4 linked regions of the Nothobranchius furzeri genome follow. The protein of the gene in region 1 interacts with the protein of each later gene in a biochemical or structural test. Links are inferred from orthologs where the notes say so. Each region holds a gene or a part of one and is shown in the gene's direction. Other genes may lie near its edges. The genes, in order: kat2b, satb1b, klf13 and irf2b.

Region 1 (7,666 bases):
GATTCTCTATATCTTATAGATTACTGCTCGTTTGATCATTTGGGTTCTTTTGATTGGTTCCGTGAGCCTGACCTTTGCCACTGTGGCAGGTTTTCTGGGAAGGACATTAAAGTCAATTTAGGTCAATAAACTAGGAGCATTTATCCTAGTTTACTTTAACGTTAGAAAACCAAAGTCTGAAACCAAGTGCGTTCCACTCCGCTACAGTAGGTGGCGCCCTTTCCTGTCAGCGTTCTTCCAGTTAGCTTACAGAAACACAACCGGGGAGTGAAACAGACGTACTGTTTGATGGTGCTTCACGCGTTGCTTTGTGGTGATGTCCTCAGAAGACTGCTAACACTGCCTCATGTGTCCAAACGGTACCAGCTCAACCGAGCCGTTACACGCAGAAGAATCCGGACTCCTACCGCATTACTGATGTACTTTAGATGAATTACAATTAGTTTGTTTTCAGCCAGACTAAAACGACATAAGTCGGTATAAGGCGATAGTTCTACTGATGTACTTTGTAAATGTGTCTCCTCACAATATGGGCCCTTTCAGGACTTTGCTAAGACGTTAGCATATCGCGACCATTTTGGCAATGAGCGTCACAACCACACAACATTAAAGACGTTTTATTCGGTCATTGTACGACATTTTTAATGCCGTTTAGGGGATGCGTTAAGAGCGGGAATGTGTCGAGTAAAAAGCGGCGTTCAGTGTCCAAAATGAAAGTTTTTTTTTTTTTTTTACTACCCACCATTAGAGACCACAGAGTAGCGTAAACTACAGCATTGTTCGAGGATTCTTGGTGTTTTTTTTGGTGTTTAAAGTTCAGCATCAGCGCTGCTTAGTTTCTTTTCCTTCCATTCGGTATAGTTGTTTGGCGACGCCTACTAATATAATTTCCCACTGAGTTACCACCAATCAGCATGAGTTAACCACAAGCCACGCCCAGCGACTCTACTGGGCCTTTACGAGTACATACCTCAGTTCGGGTACTCGTTTGGTGCCTGATATGGCCCGGAAAGGGGTCTTTTGAGTTTGCTTCGGTGAAATAGAGGCATGCACATTCCGTAAAGATCCGGTAAAGTTTCCTACAAGTTCCGATAGTGGAAACGGGCCTTTTCAAATTCAATCACTAAAAATTAAATCTAGCTGTTTATACTAATATTGCATGTGTTTCTCCTTCTAGCAAAGAGATTGCCAAAAAGTGAGCCCCAAGCTCCAGGAGCCACCGCCGCGCGAAGCCGAGGAGTGGACCTGACGGAACCCGCCCAGCCGGCCAAAGCCCCGTGCTGCTCCAACTAACACGAAGAACACACCTTTCTCTGACCTGTAGACCAGTAACTAATGTGGTCCATGCCCCAGGTGCCACTGCAGCTACTAATGCAACGTGTCACTCATCGTTAAAAGCGGGAAGACGCCCGCCGTTCCCATTCTCTCCGTTTTCTTGCAGTGGCGGACCAGCGCCACTGGCGTTCCTTCGTAGTTCTGCCTCTTGTCTTCTGTTGCGGTTCTGCTGCCACCAGGTGAAGCCTCCCAACCACTCTGTCTTACTCCCTGACACATTCATATCCGTGGTGGCAGAAACGACAGATCCACCTTCGCTCCAGCGTGTAAATCCGAGTTTCACTTCCTCCCCCTGGAGACTTTACTACTGCTTCTTTTGGATTAATATTGTTTGCTAGGATTCTGTTCTGGACACATTTCCTTGTATATTTAAGTGGGCTAAAATAAAAATAAAAAACTTTAAGGTTGGTTTGCAGTAGCACAAAACGTCCGTTAGGGGAAATGAAGTCTTTTGGAATTTCTGCAATCCCTCTTAATGTCCTCACTTCCTGTTAAAGGTTAGCGCAGTTTGCTCCTCCCGTCTGTAGGTTTCGTTCTGGGGCTGTGCCTGCTCGTAATTGTCAAGTGTAATTGTGCAATGTTCTGCAGTATTACTCGCTAGTTTGAGTATCTGCAGAGAACAACGTCCCGTCTCACATCAGTGGTGACCGTCCACGAGTCCTTCCGTAAACCGTCCCATTCTGATCCAACCTGGATTCTTTTTTTCTGGCGTTGGATGACTTCTGCAGCCGTCCTCTCCATCGGGTCGGTGTTGCCGGGCGGCTGCGGGTAGTTTTGCACAGAATGTGGGGTGAGAGTGACTCGTCCTTTTATTTAGAAAGTGCTTTAGACACAACTGTTCTAACTGTGTGTGTGTGTGTGCGTGCGTGCGTGCGTGCGTGTGTGTGTGTGTGTGTGTGTGTGTGTGTGTGTGTGTGTGTGTGTGTGTGTGTGTGTGTACACATTTGCACAATGAAACACATGACTTCTTCCTTTCAAACTTTTGATTTTTTTCCTGTCCAAACTTCTGCATCACTGTAGGTCAGCTGAAGAATATACTGTTACACGTTAGCCACACTTAATGTGTTTGTCATGTTCTCTCTAACACACACACACACACACACACACACACACACACACACACACACACACACACACACACACACACACACACACACACACACACACACACACACACACACACACACACACACACACACACACACACACACAGAGAGAGAGAGAGCCTTTAGTCCAAACCTTTTTCTATCGTTCTCATGCCTTGCACTAATAATGCTCATGAATTTATGTTATAATCTCAGTCAGTGTGTTATAAATATATACATAATATAAATATATAAATAATATACTGTAAATACGGTGTTGCAGTGTAGTCTACCTTTTTATTTTTGTTTTCCCAGTGACGGGACTAATGCTTGCTAGGGATAATCAATAGAAGGTTAAAAACCATGTACAGTTAGCAGGAAAACAGCAACAATCTGGGTTTGGAGTTTTCCCCCCAACACACAAATGGTTAAGTCATAATCCGTGGTGGTCTTTATAAATATGTGTAGTAATATTAACAAAAAAAACATTGCATTTATTTAGATGTCTGCCTCATATTATTTTCTCAAAAAGAAATCTGTTACACCCAAACTTCCTGGTTTCATCCTCCTTTTTATTTTTAATGCCTTGTGTCTAAAATGTCCTCCTCCCGGGTTTTAGGAGATATAAACTGATTTAAAAATCTACATATTGGTCTGTTTAAAAATCTGTTAACAGCGTTACAGGAACAACAGAACATCTGTGACTTGGATCACTTTTGGTTTTAAGACTTCTTTGCAGGAAGACATTTAAACTGAAGCATTTTACAGAACTATTATGTAATGACCAAATAAATACTGAAATAAATTTGAGCATTCATCATTGTAATCTGGCAGTCTGTGTGTTTTTGGTATTTTTTCTCTTCTTTAAGGATATTTTGTGATGTAGGAGGATTATGCTGCTGATTTGTTATTTTATGGTGCAATACGTTTACTGTTCCCATGTAAAATTGTTGATAGTTGGTAGTTTTATAGTATAACTTTAAAAAGGTTCCAGTCAACATGATTTTCTCTAGATTTGACCTTGAATTTTGGCTCCAATTGGCTGGATTTTGTGACCTCTCCACTCAGTTGTGGTCCCGTGGGCGCCCCTAGCGGAGGAAAATGGCACCGCTGTGAGAAATTGAAAATAAGGATGAGCGCCATGTCTGATCCTCCGCTTGTGGAATAGCGCGGACGGCGGAGCCATCGTTTCCCGGGCCTGCGCTCGCTGCGGGTTTCGGGGTGAATCATGGCCGACACCGCGGGGATTCAGCAAGGTTCGCCGGCCATTGGAGCCGCGGGCCTGGTTCCGGCGGCTCCTGGAGCCGGGGGCACGGAGGGCTCCGGCGCCGCTGGAGGATCCGCACGTATCGCAGCGAAGAAGGCGCAACTCCACTCGTCACCTCGGCCGAAGAAACTGGAAAAACTCGGAGTGTATTCGTCTTGCAAAGTAGGCGTGATTTGCACGCGGGGAACTGTGAAAATACGCGTTTTGTGTGTTTAATCCAAATTAACGGTTGGTTTTGGTTGCAAGTTTTCATAATGCAGCGCAGCAAAGGAAGCCATTGCCGCACTTCAGTTTTTTTTCCCCCTTTTTAAAAAAAATAATTGCATGAACGGCACAGTTTTCTGAAAAAAATAAACGAAGATGTTTAGGATAACGTGTATTTCTAGCAGCCGAACTCTTCGGCCGGGGCCTTTTTGCTGGACGCTCTCTGGTATTTTTAGTGGTGCTGTTTCTGTCAAGGTGGGTGGTTGGTGAACGTAAACATTGGCTCGGAGCGGCTCGGGAGTCGCTGGCTGTGGGAACAGGAGCCGAGCTCGTGCGCGTGTGTCTCCTACCCTCACCAGAAGGTCCCACAGCCTCCAGACCTTCTGCTGGAGCTCGGCGGTGAGCCTACGGAGGCATTTATGGGGCTTGTGCGGCGTACGATCCGCAGAGGGTCGGTGTCTTTGTTTTGACAGGATGACAGCTGCTGGAGGGGGCGGAGTTTGTTATTGTTTCAGTGCGCATGCGCAGCAGTGACAGGCCCCCCCTACTTTGTTTGTTTTTCTAGGACACAAGGCTCCTTTTGGGTTTGAGCTAGTCCGACTAATTAAGCCAAAAATTGAGGGTGTTTTTTATTGTCTTCAGTTTTAACTTATTTCTACTGATTCAGATGCCCAAATACCTAATTCATCACATTCTAATTGTTTAAAATTCTGATTAACTTTAAAATGATTCGGAAATCAAAACATTTTCACATGTAACATATTATTCAAAGATGATGCGTTCAAAGACCAGGAAAAACGTTGGATTTCAGCTGACCGTGGTGATTATAGCTGTTTTGTTTGTTTATTTTCCACTCTGTTCCGACAGGCCGAAGGACCGTGCAAGTGTAATGGCTGGAAGAGTCAGAACCCCCCTCCTACACCTCCTCAAACGGACCAGCAGACCAACACGGTCAATCTGCAGGAGCCCTGCCGGAGCTGCTCGCACACTTTGGGTTTGTGTGCTTGTCGAACCCAACAATCCCTCTTGGTAAAAGTTATCACTCAGATTTATAATATCTTTATTTTCCCCCAGGTGATCATGTGACTCATCTTGAACATGTTTCTGAGGAGGAAATGAACAGACTTCTAGGAATTGTCCTGGATGTGGAGTATTTGTACACATGTGTCCACAAAGAAGAGGACGCGGACACTAAACAAGTCTACTTTTCCCTCTTTAAAGTAATTTCCAGCTTTATTGTTAATATTTTATCACGTATAACCTCTGCATTGTGATCAAGTAAGCTACTAATTTCCATTTGACCTTTTAGCTGTTGAGGAAGTCCATCCTACAGATGGGGAAGCCCATGTTGGAGGCACAGGAGACTCCTCCGTTTGAAAAGCCCAGCATCGAGCAGGTGAAGTAAGAGTTTGGAAGGAAAAACACATTTTCATTGACGCCGACTGATTTTTCTCTTTATTTCTGCTTGTGTACCTAAAAGGGAGTGAACAATTTTGTCCAGTACAAATTCAGCCATCTGCCATCAAAAGAACGTCAAACCATCATGGAGCTGGCTAAGATGTTTCTGAACCAGATCAACTACTGGCAGCTGGAGACGCCCTCTCAGAGACGCCAGCGGGTGCCCAATGACGATGCAGCAGGATATAAAGCTAACTACACACGGTGGGACTGAGCAGAGTTCCCTTTGACCTGCTTTCCTGGATTCTCTCGTAGTTTTATGTAAACCATTTCTGTGTGTAGATGGTTGTGTTACTGCAACGCGCCTCAGTTCTGCGACAGCCTGCCCCGCTACGAAACCACCCAGATCTTTGGCAGGACGCTATTACGCTCCGTGTTCACCGTGATGAGGAAGCAGCTGCTGGAGCAGGCCAGACAGGAGAAGGACAAGCTCCCCCCAGAGAAACGCACTCTCATTCTCACACACTTTCCCAAGTACGACACACACACACACGTGTTCACACAGAGAAATGACACAAACTCAACATTTTAAAAGCACAGCACTTAAAAAAAATGTGGTTTTCTTTGCTCAGGTTCTTGTCGATGCTGGAGGAGGAGGTCTACAGCCACAGCTCCCCGATCTGGAGCCAAGACTTCCTTGTAGGAGCTGCAGGAGGACAGATTCCCATCCACACAGGTAAAACACACCCTCACACACACACACCTGTACGCAAGTTGGAATTTTTCTTCGCTTTGTAAAAAAAACTTTTGTTTAAAATTCCCCGTGTAGTGATCAGTGCTCCCCCAGTAGTCCGGCCAATACACTACAGCACCAGTCCTGTGTCGGTGGACCCGTCCACCTGTGGTAGCGTCAGTCCTGCCAGGAAACCCGCCTCGGCTCTGGAGTCAAACCCAGGTATTAAAACTGTGATTGCACCGTGATCCGATAAAACTTCATGTCTATTTTATCGTGAGCGATTATAAAAGAGGCGAATGATGATTTTGAAGATTAAATTGTGTTTAAAGTTGGAGAAAAGCGTAAAGCATCAGAACCACTTCACCACGAAGAAAACAAGAGACCCAGGATTCTCGGGGACATCCCGATGGACCTCATTAACGAAGTCATGGCGACCATCACCGACCCCGTCGCTATTCCAGAGGTAACCTGTTGATGTGAAGCCAGAAACTCTCGTTGTAGAAAGTAGCTCACGCCTCCTCCACCTCCTTTACTGCCCAGACCAGCCTTCTGTCTGCTCATTCTGCACGGGACGAAGCTGCACGCCTTGAGGAGAGGAGAGGGGTGATCGAATTCCACGTCATTGGGAACTCTCTCAGTCAGAAACCCAACAAGAGGATCTTGATGTGGCTAGTCGGCCTTCAGAACGTCTTCTCCCACCAGCTTCCCCGCATGCCCAAGGAGTACATCACACGGCTGGTGTTCGACCCGTGAGTTTCCCCAACTTCATTCGTGTCCAGAGATGTAGAAAAGGCATGGTGAGTAGACCCGTCTTGTTTTCCTGCAGGAAGCACAAGACGCTGTCGTTGATCAAAGACGGTCGAGTCATCGGAGGAATCTGCTTCCGGATGTTTCCGTCGCAGGGCTTCACGGAGATCGTCTTTTGTGCCGTCACCTCCAACGAGCAGGTCAAGGTGAGCAGCTTTGTTTCTGTTCCTGGTTTGCACCTGCTCGGTTCGGCGAACGTCCGTGGTTAGGGGGTGGAGTCACCGGTTGCTCCAGAGTGTTTCCCATCTCTTTCTGCTGCCTATTCAAGGTCTTTCTGGAGTCTGACAAAAAGCCACAGATGGAGTACAACCTTCCTGTGCTCTTGGGTTGAAACGAGATGATTTGGGACAATAGAAAGTCAGATTAAATGCTGACCAATGATCTTCTGGGTATGCTCCTTTCATCAACATACTCAGTTGGTGCACCCACCATTGACAGTGGAAGAAAATACATGGGTTTGGAGTGTGCAGGGCCAGCAGGAGTCTTCAGGGACAAGCTTGTTGACCAGCATCATATCTGAATTCTCATTCAGGAGAACGTTTGCCAGAATCAAGCGTCGATCCAAGAGGTCAGAAAAAAATCTGCGAGCGGGTTTTAGGAGCACAGACGGAAGGAGCTGAACATTTATGGGTTAAAGAGGAGAAGAGTCCATTTGAGAGCAAGTCAAACACATATAAACACAAGAAGGGATGTTTTGAGAGCGACCATGGGTGTTTCAGTGTCAAGGCACCTGGCCTTGCGAGGCCAGGCGCCTTGCTTACGAGGACACGGTCCTTCCTTGGTCAAAGAAAACGGTTAAAATGGAACAGACTTGCATCACGTGACCGCGGCTTC
Region 2 (6,803 bases), on another chromosome or scaffold:
CCTGTCGCAGGCCGAACGCGACGTCATCTACGAGCAGGAAAGCAGCTCCGGCCAGCAGCACCACAACGAGCGCCCGTCGCACCTTATACACCTGTCCACCGAGCAGCTTCAGGTGAGCGAGGAACGTCGTCAGCTGATCCACAGCTAAACCGAACATCTCACTAATTAAATTCACACAAACAAGTTTTAAGGAGTTTTTCCACATTTTATCGACATTTGTTTGGTAAATGACTCATCTGACGGGAGAGAAAATAATCAGCTCTTTAGTAGAATTTTTTCCACGACACACACGAGATCCAGCACCAGACTCTCTTGATAACTGAATAATCTACTTACCAAATCCTAAATGTCTCAGACTAAAACAAATAAGTGAAAAACACGTTTTTTGTCCCTTTATGTGCATTTGACTAATAACCCAGGAAAATAAATAAACACCACTTAAGAGTTTTAATGAACGCCTGTAAATTAGAGCCACAGCAGCACTTCAAACTTCCTACTTTTCAGCAAAAGCTGTTTTCAAAGATATCATTAGGCTGAACTTATTTAACAGAGCTGCTTTCTACCAGACATCTGGCGTATGAATTGCAAATAACACAAAGGCTCAGTTAACGGTGGAAACATCTTAATGAAGTACAATAATACTCCTATTAAAAGTCCGTGCCACAGCTGACTGGCTGAGTTGTTATTTGGTTTCTCAGAGACACAGCCGGTGTTTCACAGAGACTCGTTCACCGGGTAGAAGCACGGTTTCACTTACAAACCCGCTCCTGCTGCAGAGCTGGAAACGTGCAGACCTTCGCTTGCAAACAGAACTGGTTGTAGATAGAAGGGTTAGGGTTTGGGCTATTTCTGACTAAATAGAGCAGTTCTGCTCTGTCCACAAAGAGCAGTGCTCTTTCATAATGCCACACGTCAGCCAAATCAGCCCACTCTGGCTCAACAAGAGCAGTGGTATGTTGGTCCAGTAAAACTGCATCTTTGGGTGCATTTATGCAGCTGGCAGGCAGAGTCCCTGCAAAGTGCTGTTTTGCAAACTTGATTATGAAACACCTATCCACAGCGTCTGACTCAGACATGGAAATGAAAGAGCAGCCATTTTTGCAGGGTCAACAGGGACCACGAGTTGCCCACTCGCTCCCTCTCCAGCCACACAATGAGACGTTTTACGAGTAATGCGTCATGTGTTTACACTAACGGGACTCTGACGGCAAAGTGGAAGCCATCGATAGCATTCTCACGCCGCAGCTAATCAGCCAGACCATCGCTAAGTGGATTTGTGCACGGGGAGCTTGTTTATCGCTGCCTGGCAGCCGAGCCTGATAAGCTGCAGAGGACATAATGGAGAAGCCAGTTTTCCTGAGAATTCCCACTTTTTGTTGTTGTGCTGGTGTCGTTGCAGTTCGCTTTCAGCCCCAACAATAAAAACACAATCTCACTTCACGTCTGAACCGGAGAGAAAGGAAAAAAGTTTCTGTGAAACTGATAACATTCAGTCATGTAGAAGGGAAACGTGTTTCATCGTAGATCTTCTGATTTTAACGGGATGTTTCAATTGTTTTGCCTCTGGGTTAATGTTATAAATATTTGCTGTTAAATAACGCTCCTGAACAGCCTCTGTTCAAAGAAATAGTGTTTGAATTCCTCAGGACTGGTGAGCTAGTGGCTGCCGCCTTAAAACTGTTTTGACTTGCACCTTGAATTACACAAATGTTCTTGCAGAAATAAAAAATAAATACAATAATCCCTAATGACCTTTGACCTCTGGGCACATCAAATGTCCTTCCTCCTGCTCCTGCTTATCTTTGCAGATGAAATCACCACATTTGTTTGAAGTATCTGTTTTAAGGTGTCAGACTAGCCATTAGCTCATCAGTCCTGGGGCTGTAAACCCTATTTCTATGAACTGAGGCTGTTCACGAATAATTCTTTTCAACTTTTATAACAAACCTGTTTATGGTTCAGATTGGTAACACCCTTACCTTCTTTTTGTTCTTGTTTTTTTTTTTTCTCAAATTCAGTCTCAGTCGACTCAGCTGCAGCAGCACCAGCCCTCCCTGTCCCTCCATCCTTCCCAGCCCCTTTTGTCCCAGCAGCCCCTGCAGCAGCAGCAGCCCCTCACCGGCCCCAGGCTGCCTCCCCGCCAACCCTCCACCGCCTCCCCGGCCGAGACGGAAGACGAGGGCAGCCGCGGAGGGAGCATCAAGTCCCGCAGCAGCGGAGGGAAGATCTCCCTGGAGGCGCTGGGCATCCTGCAGAGCTTCATCCAGGATGTGGGCCTCTACCCAGACGAGGAGGCCATCCACACCTTGTCCGCCCAACTGGACTTACCCAAGCTCACCATCATCAAGTTCTTCCAGAACCAGCGCTTTTACATCAGCCACCCAACCAAGGCGCCCAAGGAGCCCAACAACAACAACAGCAGCGGCAGCAACAACAGCACAGCGGTGAACACCAGCAGCAGCAGCAGCAGCAGGAGCAGCCCGGCCTTCGAGGAGGAGCTGACAGACTTCAGGGAGAGCGGAGAGCTGCTGAAGGAGTTGGACGAGAGCACGCAGACCAACAGCACCATCTTCTCCATCAAGATCGAGGAGCAGCTGGGCCGAGGCGCCGAGACCCACCACGAGTCGGAGCATGAGGTCAAAGAGTAGAAATCCGGCTCCCTCCGATCCTGGACTCAGAGTTCTGACCCGCACACTCAGACTGATGACCGTGCTGAATCCGAACGCTCTGAACGACACGACCCGGCGAGCTGGAAAAGCAGACAAGCAGCGTTGTCTGTGCACGCAGCGTCGGGACTGAACGGGAAGTGTTTATGTATAAATTAAAGTTACAGGCTCTGTGAAGTGACACACACACACACACACACACACACACACACTGAAAACCCATCTCATGTACTACTTTTTGGATTTTGTAAAACTTGTAATATTCACTGTAAAAACCGATGCATCGTTTTAATAATCTGCACAAAAACATTATTGTAAAGTACGTCACCGTGGATATTTGCTGGCTGCACTCGATGTCTGTTGTTTTACACTGACTATCTTTTTGAGCTACAGATTATATTAAAAAGAAAAAAAAATCAAAAAGACCCCCTGGAGTTTACTAAGAATTTGATAGGTGTATGTAATGTTTTAACTGGAATTTTCATTTTTGTTAATATCAAATGAAATCGAGGACCAAGTGGTTGTAAAGGCCTTAATTGTGAGGTGTGACGTCTGCAGCCTGCTGGAGGAGGAGTCATTCTTTTAAAAAGAGCATCGTGTGATTAGAAATCACTCCAAACTCGGGAACGCAATCACCCGAGAACAGCCGAACCGTTGCTTATCATTTGTTAGGGAAGATATATAATATAAATATATATAGACATTATATTGTAACTGTAAAAAAGTACAGTCTTAAAGAAACTATGCCAACAAATGCCTTGTACAATACGGCACTGCCGATGTTAGATTATTTTGCAAAACCTTTGTCACTGTAACTCTGACTCGCCACACAGTTAAAACAATGTGAATTAAACTATGTTTATGTTGTCTGACATTATTTATTTGCTGTGTTTCTGATGTAATTACAGTTTATTTTAAAAGTTTATCACAGTTTTTCCTCTTTTTTTTCTAAATTCTGCCATTTTTTTCTATTTATAAATGTGATTTAACACTGGCAGTGGAAGCAAAAAGTGTCTTAAACGTCTTCAGTGGAGAAATGTGCTTTAAAGGTCGCCTATAAAGTGCTGTATGTCGAGCAAATCGTGCTACAAGCTTCACAATTATTGTCGTATGCAACTTTTACTATCATGCAAATAAGCTTAGGTGAGATGACTAACCTATGGAACACCTTAGAGAGAAGAGAACATATGCAATCTGTGTGAAAATCCATGTCTGCCATGTGTCTTCCTTTGGTTCGAGATCCAACTCTAAAAGCTCCTCCTGTAAAAAAAAAAAAAATAAGAGAAAAAATAACAATCCTGTACAAAAAGTTTTTTTAAGCGTTGATTCAGACGAGAACACCCGTTATTTTGTTACGACTGACTGTTTTCTATGTGTTCCTCGGTTCCTCTCTGCAGAGATGTTCTAACTAGAAGTGATTGTTAATGACACGATTAAACCGTTTGTATGGTGACACTGATTCCTCGAGCGGACTCTTTTGCCCTCAGAGGGGTTTTTACCAAGCGGAGCTGAGATGATGTGAGCTGTTTCTGCGGCTGAGAGACGCCGGCTGACCCGGACATGTTTGTAACAATAACTGTAAATATCACATCCTATCAACCGCCGATTGTTTATGATTGTAAATAGGTTTGAAGTTTGTGTGAGAGCTCACGGCGGGGAGCTGAATCCTGCGCTCTGTTGTGCCTCCTCTTCTCAGAGCGACTGTACCTGGGCTCTTCTTACTGCTGAGTGTATCTGAAACACCTGTGAAATCTCAAATCAATAAAAGCTGAGGTGTGAACACCTGGAATGGAGAAATGGAGAAGCCCTCTTGCAGCACAGGTGTCCTGACCTGACGGTGAACTCCAGGTGAGGAAATTACCTCACCTGTGAACATCCAGACAAGCGGTCTGGGTTCTTTTCATGTTTTGCTCATTGAAACACAAATAGATGGGAAAAAAAAAAGATTCAGAATTGTCAAACACTCAGGATGTTCTTCCCTCTTTTGCCAGAGGTGATGATCTGGGGACACGAAGCACATTAAGGGGTGAAAACAAGATGTCGTGAAGTAAAGAAGCACCATTACGCTTCATTATTTCCTGATTTTTCTTCTTTTTGCATTAAAATGGCTGACTGACAGAGGTGCCAACGAACATCAGCAGCTTCAGGATTGTATCATTATCACCATTTTCACGAGGATCAGCCTCATTTGTCTCAGCAAAAACCTTCTGGAGCACCAATACTTCCATAGGACAGATGTACCTGGTGCAGGAAGAGAAAAATACACCAGAACAGGTGATTTTGTGTCCTAAACTGGCTTTAAGTTTCTCTGCATCTCTTCACATCAGATATCTCCTCACACGTTTAGTGGTGAGTCAACTCAGGAATCAGTTGCTTATTTTTATATGGTCTTTACATTATTAGGCCACGCCAGACAGATACTTAAACAGATCTGGGAGCAAATAAGCCATCCTCCACATGGACGTTGCAGCTGACGCACGTGTGGTGAAGCTGGGCTGGAGCTCTGCACACACTTCCATCGTCCAAATGCATGTTTGAGCTCCAAAAAAAGCGAGGAGGAGAAACCGATGTCATTCTAAATCTTAATGCATAAAGGGAAACAATTAGTTTAATTGTTTATTTTATCTTCATAAAGCTAATTTTCAAAATAAAAGTTAAAAATTTTGGGAAAAAAAAAATAAAACCTGTGATGGACATGTAGTGTTGCAACCTCTTTTTTCTTTTTTTTTAACGTTTGCCTTTTGTCTTTAAACTTTTTATGCTTTGTCAAAAAAAAAGGTCCTAAAAGTTGCTGAATAAGTACAAACATCAACATAATAAATTCCTTACGATGTGTATAAATAAATCTACCAGTAAACATGGAGTCCACACACTGGAAATACATCTCTGAAGCACTTTTATGAAAGCACCACCTCCGTAAACAACACTCTGAATGAAGCTCTGGTTCCAGGTTTAGATCAAAGATCTAAAACGTTTAAGTCACTCTGGTGAAAGAAAAGTTTAAAAATAAGGTTGGTAGTTAAAAACTGTGAAACAGAACAGTCGGTGAACGAGAGTTGTTCCAATAATTTGGTTTTGTGCCACACTGAGGATGCACATCTGCAGCATGGACACATTTAAAGATCATTCATGCTCTGTTGAACACATTCTCTGCGAGAGTCCTCCAGAAGACGTCAATCAAAAGTCAACAAGGAGTTTGGGCTTCATATGAGCAGAATGCAACCGTGCATCTGTTTTAGTTCAGAACAAAGACCTTATTTAAAGATGGAGGCTGGGAGAGTCACAGTTTAGAGAAAGATGATTCATGTTTTCTCCAAGATGAACAGCCTGATGAGCATCACTTGGAAACAGAACAAATAAATATTAAAGGTGTAACAAGCTGCTTTCATGACAAATCCTGTTCTTTTTGTGCATGTCGTGGTTCAAACTAAGTCACAAACTCGCAGGATTTTTCCATCCTGCACATCCTTCGATCACCAGTAGAGCTCCAGGAGTCTTTGTAGCTTGTTGGAAAAGACTCGAGTAACGAGCTCTGCATTGTTGCAACATGAATGAAAAAAAGATGATTTCAGGTGCTCAAAATTGACTTTCTGCTTTCTAACATGATGCAAACAAAAGTTTAAACTTAAATTAGCAGGTTTAGAACAAACAGCAAGGACTCAGCTAATGAAACTTTAGGAAAACTTTCTGTTTTTTGTGCATTTTCTGTGACAATTATTCCATTTATGACCAGACTGAGACCAGATTAAATGCGGTGAATTCCTGGAGTCACTTGATGTTTTATATTTTAATCTCTGGCTGCAGCCATTATTTTGGGCACCATCTTTGCCGTGTGTGTCTCCAGATTAATAAGGACGTTACGCTCAGGTTGCTGCAGCACAACATCGGCAGGTCTGGCTCGCGCCGCGGAGTCCTCTGTGCCTACCCATGAGCCCTTGGGACTGCACAGTAAATCAAACAGGAAATGCAGCAGAAAGCCTAATAAAGTTATTTTAATGATGTCAATCTCCGAGGGATCGCCGCAACATAAACTGGGAACTTGTCTCCGCGTGTGTTTTTCTTGCACAGAACCATCAGGAAAGAAAAGCTCCTGTTTTATGTGAAGAAGCAGAAGGTTAGAAGTGTGGAAATTAATAA
Region 3 (7,755 bases), on another chromosome or scaffold:
TATCCGTTTTACGAGTCTGACTAACTGTCTTTTTGTGTCCGCTCTTTTCACTTCTGACAAAATAGAGAGATAAACTCTGAAACCAGAGAATTTTATGTTCCTAACACGAGAAAACGCTTTACAGTATTTTCTTTCTGAGTGCATCAGCTGGCTTTACAATAAAACACATTGTTTTCTTTCAGTGTGTTTCAATTCAAAAGGTAGAAATGGACATAAAGTCACGTTTCCTTTCTGAACTCAGTTCCATCTGAAACACGAACACCCTATCTTAAATGATTGCCTAGCAATTACAAACCCATAATGTCGCTTTGTAATTGCTTTCCATAATGGTGTCACTTGTCTCTTGCTGGAGGATAAACCAAGACAGTGTCTGTGGTAGCTGGCTGGATGTCATTTGGCTGAGACCGGAGAGTTGCTCAGAGGAGTGGTTAGAGGCTGGTTTGCTGAATGGCGGTCTCCATCTTTAAAAAATAAGAGCACAAGCTGTTCATTTAGACAAATAATGCTCATTAAAAAATCATAAAGCACTGACAGACATAGAAGTTATTTTTGAACAAATTCAACTTTAAGTTAAATGTGCTCTCATTGGAGCATTTAGCAGACTAGCACTGGTTTCTTTTATTTCACTTTCTTTTCTAAAATGATGCTAAAAAATATTTAAGACTGTTGCAAATCTATGTTCTCTATGCAGACTAAACCTTGGCATCATCAGAGCTTTAAGTAGGAGACCCGTTTTGTTGGCCAGAGGCCTCAGACTGTGCAGATTGTTCCAGAATTGTAACACAGTGTATTTAACAAACCGAGGACGTCTCATCCTTGCAGACAAGACAGGTCGTTTCCCCCTGGAACTGTAATGTTCCTCAGATGTACTTTTGCTTATCTATAATTTTATGAAGAGGAGGAAGAGTCTACCGTAACATTTTGTTGTGCTTCATGACAAACAGGTTTGGTGTGTAATTGGGAAACTGTCATTTGATGTGTTACGTTATTCTCAATCAGACGCCCAATCAGCTGGGAGTTTAACCGTTTTTCTTTTCTAACCCTTTGGTGCATGACGACGCCTGCTTCGGGACACATTCCTATTTTATCACCTGAAAAGTTAATAAAACAGATATAACAGAAATATTTTCCACATCCACCGCCCAAGGCGCTTTACTCATTCATCTTTGGAACAGCTCGACCCTGAACGACTCTCGCAGTCACCAGGCGAGTGACGGGGGACACCCTGGACAGATGTCCAGTCCATCACTGGGACACACAGAAAGCTAAGGGCAATAGAGTCTCTGTTTAAACTAGCATGCATGTTTTTGGTCTGTGGGAGAAAACCGGATTAAAACAAAACACGCACGGCAAGGACACGCTAAAGGCCATGTTCAAAAATGAGACCTTTCTTGCTGCGAGACGACAGCGCTACCAACGACCCCAACACAAACATGTTATCATTTCAGGCTGTTGACTCTCGATGATCCCTGCAGATCTTACTTTGCTGCTGTTTGATCTTGATTCCTTCTAGCTGTGATCAGTTGTTTGATGCCTTAAAAACAACGTTCCTACCGCTCCAGAACAGTGGTTAACAGGATCACTTTTCTTTAGAAAGAAAGCCAGAGACACTTGGTCTAAAGTGGTAAACTTAATGGCTCAATCATCAGAGGTGCTTAAGTTCCTACCACGGTTGTGGTTCTGCTCTCTTCTCCACGCACCTTTTGTCCTCCTGTCTTAGCCTCAAAGCAGCTCCACTCCAGACACCATTTGGTGTTCAGCCGCCACGTCCACCGTGAGCTTCAGACAAATGAAACTTTATTGAATGCTCTCCTGTAACTTTACGACTTCCCGTCACTGTGACGTGGTCCTGGTGTCAACGCCACACAGAACACAGCTGGTTCCTAAAGCTGACCCGACGAGGTCACAGAAGAAAGTTTTGAATCTTGAGACGACCCCCAGAAATAAAACAAAAAGCTGAAAAGTCCTTTTTAGAGAGATTGGAACTTTGTGTGAAAGCAGAGCAAGCAAACAAATATTTTAAATGTGTTCTTTTTTCCGTTAATCCATTAATCTCTGGAAATATCCATCAAAATATTGTTGAAAATGAACGAAGTGGTCCAATCATTGAAAAATATTGGTGGCTTTGTAACAAATAATCATAAAAACTGCATGGGAGATGGGACTAGAAACACCTTCATGTCCGAAGCAAAAAAAACAAAACATTGTTTAATATTTAAAAAGGGGACATAATGAACATTGTAAAGGATTTACTGTAATGTTTGTATTACTAGTGACAGTAATAGCGGTATGATGTAAAACTACCCTAGACGTTTGTACTGCCCCCAGTCGCCAGGAAACTACACACTGTCACTTCAGTATGTGATCTTCTGACTCCTATGTACTGCAGGTAAGACACTGCCTCTGTTTAAGATGGGGAAGGGGGGTGGGGTGGGGGGCGGGGGGTTACATATCTCCAGCTGTCAATGGGCAATCAGGCGGGGTACACCCTGGACAGAGAGCCAGTCCATCGCAGGGCAAAACACACACACACACACACACACACACACCCCTAAGGAAAACTTAGACAGACCAATAAACCTAACAGTCGTGTTTTTGGACTGTGGGAGGAAGTCGGAGAACCCAGAGAGAACCCACGCATGCACAGAACACGCAAGCTCCATGCAGAAAGATCCCAGGCCGGAAGCGGCATGGCAACAGCTCCAACCACTGCGCCGCCTGTTTAAAATCCCAATCCCAACATTAGCTTCTTTATTTTTATGGGATAATTTGGGTCGTGTAGGAAAAAGCCCTGCTGCAGCATGTGTGTAACTCCTCTGTTTACATCCATGAAGCTCCCCCCTCGCACCAAGTTAGCTTTCCTAAACGTTTCTCCAGGATTCAGGACCCCAGCCTGGGTGAAAAACTTCTTCCGAGCGCATGGAGACAAGGCGGCTGAAACTTTCGCGTTGCTCGGTGCACTCAGGGACAAGATGTACCCAATGAATGAGCGGCTGCGCTGCCGGTCGACACGCCCCCAGCATGGATACACTGAGTAGGAACCAGGGCTCCAGAGACGCACTCGCAGACGGTTTGAAGGCGCGATGGGAGTTTACGCATCTAAGTTTCAGGAGTTCCTGTCGGCGTCGCTGCACTGAACAAAGACCTCTCTCTCTCTCTCTCTCTCTCTCTCTCTCTCTCTCTCTCTCTCTCTCTCTCTCTCTCTCTCTCTCTCTCTCTCTCTCTCTCTCTCTCTCTCTCTCTCTCTCTCTCTCTCTCTCTCTCTCTCTCTCTCTCTCTCTCTCTCTCTCTCTCTCTCTCTCTCTCTTACCCCTCCACCCTTTCTCACTCTCCAGCTGAGAGATCATCTCTGCGTTTTTCGTCCGAGGCGTTTCTCGCACAGGATGTTGATGATATACTGGAAAGCCGGGTAAGATCATAAAGTCAGTTCTCTGATGAGAACGACCTCTTCCTCCCCGTCTCTCCAAGGGAACAACAAGTACTTTTCCTCCTGCTTCACCTCCAGCACACCTTTGTTTTTCCTGGAATGCCATTGAGGAGCAGAGGGGGCTGTGTGAAAGATAAAATGGATCACTTTGCAGCAGAGTGCCTTGTTTCTATGTCCAGTCGCGCAGTGGTTCACGCACCGAAAGGTAACAGGGAGATCAAGCCGGAAACCCAATCCTCCTCCTCCAGGAACGGAGAGGACATAAAGGAGGTGATGGATAACTCCTCGCTTTTTGTGGTGGCACGGATCCTGGCGGATTTCAACCAGCAGACTCCCGACGTTGCTGCCGAGCAGGCAGCGAGAATAAAGGATGAGAGAGAGGATGGAAACTCTGCCACACCTACCGCCGGCCCCGATCCTGCGCTCAGACAAAGAGGCAAAAGATCGAGAGGTCGAACTGAGCAGGAATCACCTCAGAAAAAGCACAAATGCCACTATTCTGGTTGTGAAAAAGTTTACGGCAAATCCTCCCACCTCAAAGCCCACCTTAGGACACACACAGGTCAGTTTCTTTGGATGTGACTTGTTTGTTTTTTCTCACGTCTGAGGGAATAAATTAAACCACAGCCTTAAAACCAACAAAAGGAAAGTTGATAACAAAAAGTTAAAAAATTGGTCAATTACTGTATGGTAGGTCAAGGAGCCACCCTAAACGAGCGCGTGATCAGTTATAGTTTTATTTCTAACTTTGTTGTAAAACTTTAGATTGTCCTTTGTTAATTTCGTGGCACGAAAAAGTGGCTCGAATAAATAGTGCCACTCCCACTCATGTCTCAGAGCTTTGCCCCCCCCCCCCCCCGCACACACACACACGCGCGCGCACGCACATCACATCACCGCATTGGACAGCGTGTTCAAAGCCAAAATGTCAATTTGCGCACAAAATTTACGCACAAAAACGTAGTTTTATATCAACAGTCGGTGCACTTTTATTTTGTTTTGTGGCAGCACGTCTGTCTGAACAAAGTGCACCCTACATAACAGAGGAGTGTAAGTGCGTATGGGCATGCAGGAAGTTTGTCCGAAGAGTCAGTGCGCTCAGCTGCATGCTGACCTCTCAGAACCTCCCCAGATCTGCGCTCTGCATTCCGCAGGATAGGATACTGGGGAGGGAGGGAAGGGTGGGGGAGAGATATAGATCGGCTCAAATTGGGGGGTTGATAATAGCTGTGCAGTCGCCTGTCTGCCCAAAGCCCTTTGTTATGATGTGCCACACCCCCGCTAGACAGACTGCCAGCTGATCTGGCCAGCAACAGACTCAGCTAGCTGAGCCTCGACTGAGGAGTCACTGCCTCCCTCTCTCTGATCTGAACATGCACTGCAGCTCTCTCTCTCTCTCTCTCACGCACTCCACACCCACCCTCCCCTCCCACCCTCCCCTCCCTGCACACAGCCACACACGCATCATCCAGCAGCAGCATGAAACACCTTGCATGAGCGTGACCCATATTTGAGTCACGCGCAGCAGAAACGCTGTATGTGCAAGGCGTTTTTACCCATAATCCATTTCTTGTTTTGTTTTCCATCTCTCACCTGCCAATCCAGATAGGAATATTAGGCGTGTCCCTGTAATCTCATTCTACACTCATTAATATTCATAAACAATGCGAATACACCTGGTAAGGCATCATGGAGGGATCAAACTGGAGGATGTTCTCTGAGAGACGCTGATTTCAGTCACATTTTTACTGCATGTGCATCAAAGTGAAGAAAAGACAAGGAAAGGGAAACAATTGGATTTATAACATAATTTGCTAGTTTATTATTTGTTGTCATGCAGCTTTTATAATTAGCCCCAGGCACCATGTTTAAGCCTTTCTTTTCTATGGGATATCCCTACGCCTCAGCCGATTGGTTCCATGACGTGACTGGTGGTTACGCTGCTTGCTGAGAGCCTTTGGCGTGCTCATGCTGTGTGAGTGTACTGGGATTTTATGAGACCACGCCCGCCCTGCCCTTGTCACAGTGCCTATCAAGCGTTTCCTTTCCCCTGCCCCTTGGTTTGGATGTGCTCCGTTTGTCGTCTGGCTCCCCAAATGGGCTGTGTCCTATAAATTGTGTTAATAATGACTGGGCAGGCCCAGAATGTGGGTCAGCTGAGTTCAGCATGGGCTGCCTCAGCCAATCTTGCTGTGCTTTCAGAGTCAAACTCTGGCAGCGTGCTTCCTTTTCAGCCCCTACTAGCAGAATCAAGAGAGAATGGATCCCAGCCTGGTCAGGTCTAGCCAAACTCAGCTCTCTAATTGAAGGGGAAACACTATAGAACACAAACACAGAGTCTGGGACAAAATGTCCCTTCATGACTTCTGTAACATTCGGATTTTCTGCTGCTTTTGTCTGGCAGTTACTCCTAAATGTGAACTTGGTAACTGGGATTTCCTCAGAAAACCTCTCTGTCACTTAATGTTTATTTCCAAAGTTTAATACAAAGTCATTTTTATAAAGTAAAACAAAAGGACGTCCATGCTTCTACTTAAAAAAACATGTCTGATCTTGCCCCCACCCACCTATCAGAGTTCAACAGGGACACGGGACTACACACTGCATTTAAATCACTCATTATACTGCACTGAGGTTGGATGCTGGTGGATCCACAGCAGTTTAGGGGTCTAAGGTTACCAGGCAGCCTTTGTCTGCTGCTCTAGGGTAGGAGGTGGAGCTCAGATGCTATAACTATGTAAAAAAATGAGGGGACTAATGGCAGATTTCATGAATCACAAACAAATACTTGCTGTCAGTTCACAAAAGTCTTGCTTTTCTCTCAGGGAACAGACAGGGCTCTTCTTCCTTATGGGTTGTTTGCACAGAACCCTCCCCCCCAAAAAAGAAAATTCTTAGAAAAGCTCATCTTGCCAGCATACAATACCCAAAATCTACTAGTCACATACATAGAGGGGGTGTGGTCAATAACAAAGAGCCTAATGACATATTTTACAGTTGGCTTGATGTTTTGTTTGAATCTCTTTTGTGGTGCCTCTGATTTAGATAGCTTTACTGTCTTAAAAAAAGAAGGGGCACCACCTGGCAGCACAGTCCCAGCACCGTGAAAGCTCAGTTGTTCGCTCGTTCTACCTATTTTCAGTCAAATAACTGTGGTTAGGGGCCTTTTCAAAATGTAGAGTTACCCCAATTCCACATGGAAAACACAGCAGGAGTCTCATTATATATGCTCCATCCCTGCCAGTGGTTTATATTTGGCTGCAGTGAAACACAAGCATGCACAGTGGTCCTGTGTGGCCGATGGGAATGATGAGGTAGCAGGGTGGAGATGGGGTTTTTCCTGCTTAAATCTAACCCTGGCAAAGGTATGGGTCACGAGGTACACTGGTGCAAAAGAGTTCAAACGCCCCACAACAGGATTTTCACCACTGCTCTCAGTACAATCACAAATCTCCTGGTGTGACCATTAATCTGTGAGCTTCACTAGTTGAATAAAATCAGCAAATTTGGTATAATCTGACCACGACCCACTGACAGAGCTTAGTTGGGGGCGGAGTCAATGGTTGTCTTTCATATTGTGTCTGCAGACAGTTGGACAGCGTTCGGACCAATCAGAGCAATGCACAATGTGATGTATATGTAGCAACATAAATCAGTCAGCGGGGCAGCCTGCCATGCACAGACCTAGGCACATCTATCTGATCACGTCTCAAAGAAAAGTAGAAGAACGAATCGTCCAAAGTTGATGCCAAAGTCAATTCAAACGAGTGCTGTTTTTAAGCTGCCATCTTTGTTGTTTTGCTCCATTGCAGCTTTGCCGTGTTGAAGATATGCCCACCTAATGTCTCTACAAATATAGAGTGCTGTGATTTGCCCAGCCGAAGCTTAGCTAGGCCAATGGTAGCCCTGTTGAGACTAAAGGAGCGCGGCTAGACCACCTGCAGAGCACAACCTTTTTGCTACTTCTACGGTTTGTCTAGATTTTTATGAACTTCATTCTTTGCGAGTTGTAATGCACATGTATGATGCTGGGCTTTCTCCACTTGTGAAACAACAACGAAAATCATCTGGTTGGTTCAGAAAACCCGAGTTCACTGGGTGTGCCCAATACAACAAAGGTATTAGTTCAATCCACGTGATCCACATGGTGAAAATAAAGCCAGAGTCAAGCCACCATCTTGCCCATTAATCCTCTGTTGCAGTGTTACAGTCCTGTAGAAGACATCTTTAAGACGTGTGCGGGTGCACATGCCGGCCATATGTTGTCCTGCCTGCATTGACGCCAGGACAGTTTCTCGTTAATATCAGAGCACAAGCCTGACGCGACT
Region 4 (7,785 bases), on another chromosome or scaffold:
GTCTTGGGTTAGACATTTGCCCCAGAACATGACACACTCAAGTAAAGAGAGGAGTAGAGCTGTCAACAGATCACCACCTGGTGGTGAGCTGGATCAGAGAAGTAATAAAAGCATGTATCAGCGACTCCAAAATGTGTTTGGGACATGGTGGACGTAGAAATGATGATTAAAACATCACTAATGTGACTGACGTAGCGGCAATGTAAAATCTGTAAAAAAAAAAAAAAAGACAAATGTGTTTCTTACGTACGGAAGTCAAAGTGTGCCACATAATCATAAAAATGTCTTTTCCCTTGGATCGAATGATCATTATATTCAAGGGTAGGAAATCCCTGAAGCTGTACAAGCCAAAAGAAACCTGATTAATATGGCTAACGTGCATTTCTCCTGAGTGAGGCCAAGATAAATATCAAAAAATACAATATAAATGATAAGCAATGAAGTTACAGTTTCTAAAGAGCTTTATATATGTATATATAAATTAAAAAATTCCAAATATTATGGACATTTCAAAATAATATGTAAAAATAAGAAGGAACAACTGTAAAAATGATTCATTCCAATATGGCAGCTTGGTGATGTCATAATATGCAAATTAGATGAGTGCATTTGCTCCCAACACAAACTTTGGGTCCTACTGAAGATTTTTCTCATTTACAGCTCACCTTTGCCTCTGACCATTTTCAAGCTACAACCTTTTGAAGTAGTCGTGTCAGAATTCAATATTTTCTTGAAAAATCGGTAAAGAGTTTTATATGTGAGAAGGAGGATCTTAAAATCTATTGCAGCCAATGTAGGGAAGCTAAGATAGGAGAGATATGATCTCTCTTTTTAATTCTCATCTGAACTCTAGCTGCAGCATTTTGGACAAGCTGAAGACTTTTAACTACATTCTGTGGACTTCCTGAGAGTAATGAATTACAGTAATCCAGTCTTGATGTAATAAATGCATGAACTAGTTTTTCAGCATCACTCCTGGAAAGGATGCTTCTAATCTTAGCAATATTCCGAAGGTGGAAAAAGGAAATCCTACAAACCTGTTTAACATGGGATTTGAAAGGTGAGAGCCGAGTCCTGGTAGAAAACCATTCATCTTGTATTCCAGTAACAACTAATTACTGTTTTCAACAATTCATTTATTTACGACAACTTCATGTAAAATCTAAATTTTTTAAATAGTTTTACAGTTGGTGTTTTTTTTTTCCTGTTTTACCTTTCATCACTGTTAAACATACGGTTATTTTCTACAGTGTAGGTTACTTTTTCTGGAAAAAGTAGAGGATTCAGCTGCTCTGCTTCCCTCTGCTGGAATTCTCTTCCCCCTGACCTTTGCACCTCTCACTCTCTCACTCTTTTAAACTAAAACCACCCCTTCAGACAAGCTTTTAACACCTAGTTTACATGTAATTAATTTTCATTTTTCAACATCTTAGTGTTTCTATGGACCCATTGTTTACATCTGGGTAACTGCACACATCCACACTAGCTGGAGAGCAAGAACCCGTCTCCAGCCGTTGTCCAGAGCTGTATCTGTCACGTTGGATAGAGGCTAGGACCCAAAGGCAGTTTACCCAGGAACGGCACACAGACAAAACAAGGTCCTTTTATTTTGGAGTGATGAAGGAAGTCCAACAGGGAGCCAAATCAGGTTCAAGAACTCATAGGAGAAAAAACTAAAAAAGGTAAAAACTGGAGGCATCAAATAACGCTTATAAGGGTTTTATACACCTGTCTCATGCAGCTGATAGCTAACATCCTGTTAAAGGTTTAATCCATGTTTAACTTTGTATTTTCTAAATAAAATGATCTTTATTACAATTCTTGCATTTAGGAAATAAAACACTGAATTAGTGATAAATAATTGCCTCTGCCATTGTAATACAGGACATTTTTATGACTATGTGTTCAGGTTGAACATGTGACCGCTAGAGGGAGCTGGAGACATATTCAGAGAGGGTTTGCAGGCCTTTATGAGTCAGCAGTCTGTTCCTGGAACTGAACCTGTACTTTAACCTAACCCCTAACACACCAGGTCTACAAGTTTATAACAAGAGTTTCTTTTCTCATGTTTGTGTTTCTGCACATCAGTCTTTATTTTTGTGCTGGTGGCTGGGACCTGCCTCCTGATGCTTTTCATCTGGGAGCACCTAATGTTTAAGTTAGGGGTGACAGTGGGTGAGGTTAGGAGTTCACCCTGTAACTGGTGGGTCAATCCCAGGCTTTGTCCGTGTGAATCGTTCTGTCCTTGGGCAAGGAGCTTCACCATCCTCACCTGTTTGTGGTGGTTGGAGGGGTCGGAGGTGGCTGTGTAGGACAGCTGCACTTCTGTTATTGTGTCCCAGAGTAGCTATGGCTGGGATGTAACTCATCATGTGTGTGTGTGTGTGTGTGTGTGTGTGTGTGTGTGTGTAGGTGTGTGTGTGTGTGTGTGTGTGTGTGTGTGTGTGTGTGTGCCTGTGAAATGGGCTGCTTTTTAAATCGCTTTTATATGGGTGGGAAAGGTATGGAATATAGGTTTTATGGGGTCATTGTTATCTGTAAAGCACTTTGAGTTGCTTCTTTGTATGAAAAGTGCCTTATAAATACATTTTTGATTGATTTTTTTGATTGAGAACATACCAACTCTATTCATGCACGAGCAGAACATGGTAACTCCACATATGCATGATGAGAACATGATAACTCTATATTCTTACTTTTTATATTTACTTATCTCTTATTTCTATATTTTATTTTTGCACCAAGTACTTAATGTTGTGATTTCTTGTACATAAGACAATGAAACCTGATTCTGACTCTGGACCTTCTTGCTGAGGGACAATAGGGCTACTTTGCATCAGCTTTCATCAAGTTTCTGTTCCTGTTTTTCCAAGCTGGCTGCTCTTATACGGTGTGATGGTGTTGAAACAGACGTGAGCAAAAATCACAAGTCGTTGAATTTTACTGAAATAAACTTCTGTTTTCATGCTGGAGATTCAGGAGCTTCTATTGTGTGCTTGCTGTCTTTGGTTGTTTTTACTTCTATTCCAGATATTTATAACAAGCAGTTTTATTTTGTACATTGTTTTTCTAAACTTCCTCTTCGTTTGTCAGATAATTGTGTTTTACAGATGTTCTCGTGTATTTTTCATGTAAAACGTATTTTCTGTTAGACGGTGTTTAGGTCCAGAGGGCTGGGGTTAGTTCCGAGTTACACAAGTTTCTTCAGTTTCATCAGGTCGTGAGGAGGGAAAAGGCTGCTTCAGTTTCCTGTCTTAGCTGCTTTCTGACTTTCTGGTTTCGTTTTAGGCAGCAGCTGAGCAGAAAGGAAAGGCAGGGTGGGTATCAGGGAGAAATGAAAATGAAATCCAGCTCAAAGATCGTCAGTGAGCGGCTTAAACCCTTACTGCTGTTGTTTTTATTTACTCATAAGCGCTTCCTTACGCCAGGGTTTTAGCCATCGACATACATATATGGTATTAGCTCGTCTACAACATTCAACGTAAAACAAACTGCAAGGTAATGCTGTTTGCTTCGCTGTGTTTATTCTGTCCACGAGCACACGTTTTTGTTGAAGCGGAGGAAACAAATCAGAGTGAGGCCTCTTTTCGTTTGGCTTTCTCTAGCGGTCGCGCGCACGTTGGCCAAAGATTGTTCGTAGACGCAGCTCGAGCCCGCGAGCTAGAGGGGGATTTCCAGCACGAGCTCCACTCTCACTTCCCGAAGCAACCGTTGTTTTGCTTTCGGTCTGAGAGCACAAACAGAAATAAACATTTCCGTTCGCCGCCTAAACAAGCCTACAACTACTTGTCCAACTTTGGGGGCGCAGACTGTCCGGACAGCGGCTCCTCGAGGCGTCAGGCCGTCTAACTGAGAAGGTAACATCTTTTATTTCCGCCTATTAACCGCTGTTGGCTCGCGCGCACAGCGAGCTGCCTACAGGAGACATGACAGACAGCTGCGCGTGTCAGCGGGAGTCCTGCCGCTGGACTCGCTGTTGTTTTCACTTTTGACTTCATCTGGTTAGTGGGTCCACGCGCGCACGCACACACACACACACACACACACACACACACACACACACACGCTAGTTAATGTTGTCACACACACACTAGTTAATGTTGTCACACACACACTAGTTAATGCTGTCACACACACACATTAGTTAATGCTGTCTCTCTCTCTCACACACACACACACACACACACTAGTTAATGCTGTCACACACACACACACACACACACACACACACACACACACACACACACACACACACACACACACACACAGTTAATGCTGTCACACACACTAGCTGTCACAAACACTAGTTAATGCTGTCACACACACATACACATCAGTTAATGCTGTCTCACACACACACACACACACACACACACACACACACACACACACACTAGTTAATGCTGTCACACACACACATTAGTTAATGCTGTCACACACACACTAGTTAATGCTCTCTCACACACACTAGTTAATGTGTGTCTGTATCATAAAACAATGGCCTTAAATGGCCGAGGTGCTCTTACACATATTTTCTACATGTTTCTAAATATAGTTTTTAATAATTATTGATATTAATAGGAATTTTCTATTGGTGAGCTTTTCGTGCAGCCCTAGCCGTGACACACAGACTTCATGGTGGATCTAAGGTGACATGACCAGGGCGGGAGAGCTGATCGTGTTCCTGTTGCTGTGGATGTTACCCTAAAAGCCACCTGAAGCAGGCTAAAATGCAAAAACTGCCCCTTGACAAAACATGTACAACACCCCGTGGAAGTGCCATGCCGGCCATGTGCCCTCATCCATGATGGTGGGCAGAAGCTGCTTATTTGAGTGGCACAAATAGTCACGGGGAAAGCCCTTATCCTTTAGTAAAGTAATGCAACAAGTTCAAATGCTGCTAAATAATTAGCAGCATTATAGTTTATTTAGGCTTTTTGTGACCTGTGTAACTAGTTGTAAAAAACCTAATTTCATTAAAGCTTTTGGTTTGCTGTATTTTTATGTTGTTTTGCACAGTTACAGTATACATTAGCATTCTATACATTAGCATTCTACACATTAACATTTTATACATTAGCATTTTATACATTAGCATTCTATACTTTGGCATTCCATACATTAGCATTTTATACTTTAGCATTCTATACATTCACATTTTATACATTAGCATTATGTACATTAGCATTTTATACATTAGCATTCTATATATTAGCATTCTAAATTATAAAAACAATTCTTCATAAATGTTTGCAGGTTTCATAGTAAAAAAACTACTAATTTTTCAACACAGATTTCATGGTTTTGTGTGATTTAAGGTCCAAAATGCTATCACATTACTTCCAAAATAAAAAAAAATTATAAACGCAGATAGTCCATGTTGTCCTGAGAAAAACCATGCCTCATCAGGCAAAATTAATAGTTTTTATTAGAACATACAAAGGGATGAATTAGCTTAAAAACGCTTCAGAAGACCAAAGACAGAGGAGGACTGGATCTACCCAACTTTTATTATTATTTCTTAGCCAACAGGCTGCAATATATACCAAGATGGTTGCAAGATAACCCACTAGATGAGTCTTGGTTAGATATAGAACAGACACTTTGCAATACGATAGAGCTTTCAGACTTACCATTTATTAGCTCAAGCATAAGAAAACATGAAGGCTTCAAAAGTATTAGTATCAGCACTTCTCTGACGGCATGGTGGGAGTATCTTAAAATGACAGAGTCTTCACTAGTACCATGCAGACGCACACCTATCTGGAATAATCCTGATATTTTGCAAAATAATAAAATAGTGAACCTTCCGGACTGGAAAAATAAAGGAATCCTATACCTGGAACACATATATGAAGGATTGGACTTCATCCCATTTAATAGAATAATCTCCCAATTTGGAATAGATAAGAATAGCTTTTTAGAATATCACCAAATTAAATCTGTAGTCAAACAAAAATTTAAGCTCAATAAAATAGAATTACAAACACCACCAAGGGTATTAGACTTCTATAATCTCAAACCCCCCAAACTAAATGGTAAAATGGTAAATGGCCTGTATTTGATATAGCGCCTTCTAGAGTCCTATGACCCCCCAAGGCGCTTTACAACAAAATCAGTCATTCACCCATTCACACACACATTCACACACTGGGGGTGATTAGCTACAATGTAGCCACAGCTGCCCTGGGGCGCACTGACAGAGGCGAGGCTGCCGAGCACTGGCGCCACCAGTCCCTCCGACCACCACCAGCAGGCAACGTGGGTTAAGTGTCTTGCCCAAGGACACAACGACAGCGACAGACTGAGCGGGACTCGAACCAGCAACCTTCCGATTACGGGGCGAGCACTTAACTCCTGTGCCACCGTCGCTCCTGTGCCACCGTCGCCCAAACTACTGTCTAAAGCAGGGGTGTCAAACTTGCGGCCCGCGGGCCGGATCCGGACCGCAAGCGGGTTAAATCCGGCCCGCGAGATGGTTGTGTAAACCTTATTTTCATACTTTACAATGTAGAGTGAAAATAAACGTATCTTTGTGAGCAAGTTTTCTCTGTAATGAGTATAAATAAAACAAAGCTGCGCTCAAGGCTCACACAAGAACTTGAGTCACATCCTGAAGTTGGCTGCCACTCAGGATGTGACTTCTGGTATTGATGTGCTGGTGAAAGCTAAAAGATGTAAAGTAAAATGAGTCGAATATACTTTAAGTGCTGCATGAAACTGATCTATCCATGTGATCTGTAAGCTCTTTGAATCACTAAGGAATGTTTTTTTAAATTTGTTGATTTTTTTCTTCTTCAAATTTTCAAGTACACTTCAGGTGTTGTACTTGTACTACACTGTCCTCAGGCTCCAGCCTTGTTTTATATTGATTGTATTAAAACAAAGAAAACAATCTGAAGTTTTTTATTTTATTTACCGGTCCAGCCCACTTGGGACTAGATTTCCCTCAATGTGGCCCCTGAGCTAAATCGAGTTTGACACCCCTGGTCTAAAGTATATAAGACACTGTCCAAAATAGACGATAGAATAGCAATCCCTATTGAAAAATGGGAGGTGGATCTATCAGTCAGCTTTGACCAGAACTTCTGGTCCCAAACTTGTTTAAAAACTTTTAAAATGATCAGACACTCCAATTTACAATTAATTCAGTACAAAATTCTACACAGAGTACACTATACAGATTATCGGATGTTCAAGATGGGGTTTGTGTCATCTGACACCTGTACACACTGCACAAACAACATTCCTGACAATTACATTCATGCACTGTGGTCCTGTCCACCTGTCCAGGAATTTTGGGGTAGAGTGTGTGAAGACCTGTCAAAGTCTCTGAAATGTCATATCCCAACCACCCCCTCTCTTTGTTTACTGGGAAACCTGGACGATGTCCCGATTGAAACATCTTAGGTTCACGTGGTTCTGACTGCCATATGCATCACTAAGAAAACTATCCTCTTGAATTGGAAAAATAGAGAATCTCTCTGCATTAACCAGTATAGAAATCTTTTTTTGGATCATATTACACTTGATTTAGCCTCTGCCTTCACTTCAAATCAATCTCTCTGGGCTCCTTTGATCGGTTCCATCACATAGCGATGATGGGGGACCATTGATATTGTCCTGCGGGATGGTGTGTGTGTGTGTGTGTGTGGGGGGGGGGGGGGTCTGAGTTTGGAGTATCCGGATGTTCCCTGGAGGTGGGTTCACTGGGGGTGTCTGGGACTGGGGGGCTGTTGCCCCCCTCTGGAGGTACTTGGGTTGCCTTGGGGGGTGGACTACTGG

Evidence for each region.
Region 2: of the proteins of kat2b (region 1) and satb1b, one has a biochemical effect on the other in vitro, tested with the Homo sapiens proteins (2 studies listed by BioGRID, with this or other methods). The link is inferred for Nothobranchius furzeri from reciprocal best matches to the Homo sapiens genes KAT2B and SATB1.
Region 3: of the proteins of kat2b (region 1) and klf13, one has a biochemical effect on the other in vitro, tested with the Homo sapiens proteins (2 studies listed by BioGRID, with this or other methods). The link is inferred for Nothobranchius furzeri from reciprocal best matches to the Homo sapiens genes KAT2B and KLF13.
Region 4: the proteins of kat2b (region 1) and irf2b form a complex in vitro, tested with the Homo sapiens proteins (2 studies listed by BioGRID, with this or other methods). The link is inferred for Nothobranchius furzeri from reciprocal best matches to the Homo sapiens genes KAT2B and IRF2.

The regions. Positions count from the first base shown.
Region 1 is NC_091759.1:19,554,162-19,561,827, forward strand, and holds the start of kat2b (histone acetyltransferase KAT2B), read left to right. Parts: upstream 1-3,516; 5' UTR 3,517-3,648; coding exon 3,649-3,849; intron 3,850-4,758; coding exon 4,759-4,885; intron 4,886-4,965; coding exon 4,966-5,111; intron 5,112-5,200; coding exon 5,201-5,287; intron 5,288-5,371; coding exon 5,372-5,553; intron 5,554-5,631; coding exon 5,632-5,823; intron 5,824-5,921; coding exon 5,922-6,025; intron 6,026-6,118; coding exon 6,119-6,244; intron 6,245-6,354; coding exon 6,355-6,488; intron 6,489-6,565; coding exon 6,566-6,774; intron 6,775-6,851; coding exon 6,852-6,978; intron 6,979-7,666. Other genes in the region: rab5aa (RAB5A, member RAS oncogene family, a), read left to right, coding at 1,178-1,293. UniProt on the Homo sapiens protein: Functions as a histone acetyltransferase (HAT) to promote transcriptional activation. Has significant histone acetyltransferase activity with core histones (H3 and H4), and also with nucleosome core particles.
Region 2 is NC_091745.1:63,025,272-63,032,074, reverse strand, and holds the end of satb1b (SATB homeobox 1b), read left to right. Parts: coding exon 1-112; intron 113-2,018; coding exon 2,019-2,648; 3' UTR 2,649-4,457; downstream 4,458-6,803. UniProt on the Homo sapiens protein: Crucial silencing factor contributing to the initiation of X inactivation mediated by Xist RNA that occurs during embryogenesis and in lymphoma.
Region 3 is NC_091744.1:67,450,889-67,458,643, forward strand, and holds the start of klf13 (Krueppel-like factor 13), read left to right. Parts: upstream 1-3,320; 5' UTR 3,321-3,526; coding exon 3,527-3,989; intron 3,990-7,755. UniProt on the Homo sapiens protein: Transcription factor that activates expression from GC-rich minimal promoter regions, including genes in the cells of the erythroid lineage. Represses transcription by binding to the BTE site, a GC-rich DNA element, in competition with the activator SP1.
Region 4 is NC_091741.1:104,003,991-104,011,775, reverse strand, and holds the start of irf2b (interferon regulatory factor 2), read left to right. Parts: upstream 1-3,618; 5' UTR 3,619-3,857; intron 3,858-7,785. UniProt on the Homo sapiens protein: Specifically binds to the upstream regulatory region of type I IFN and IFN-inducible MHC class I genes (the interferon consensus sequence (ICS)) and represses those genes. Also acts as an activator for several genes including H4 and IL7.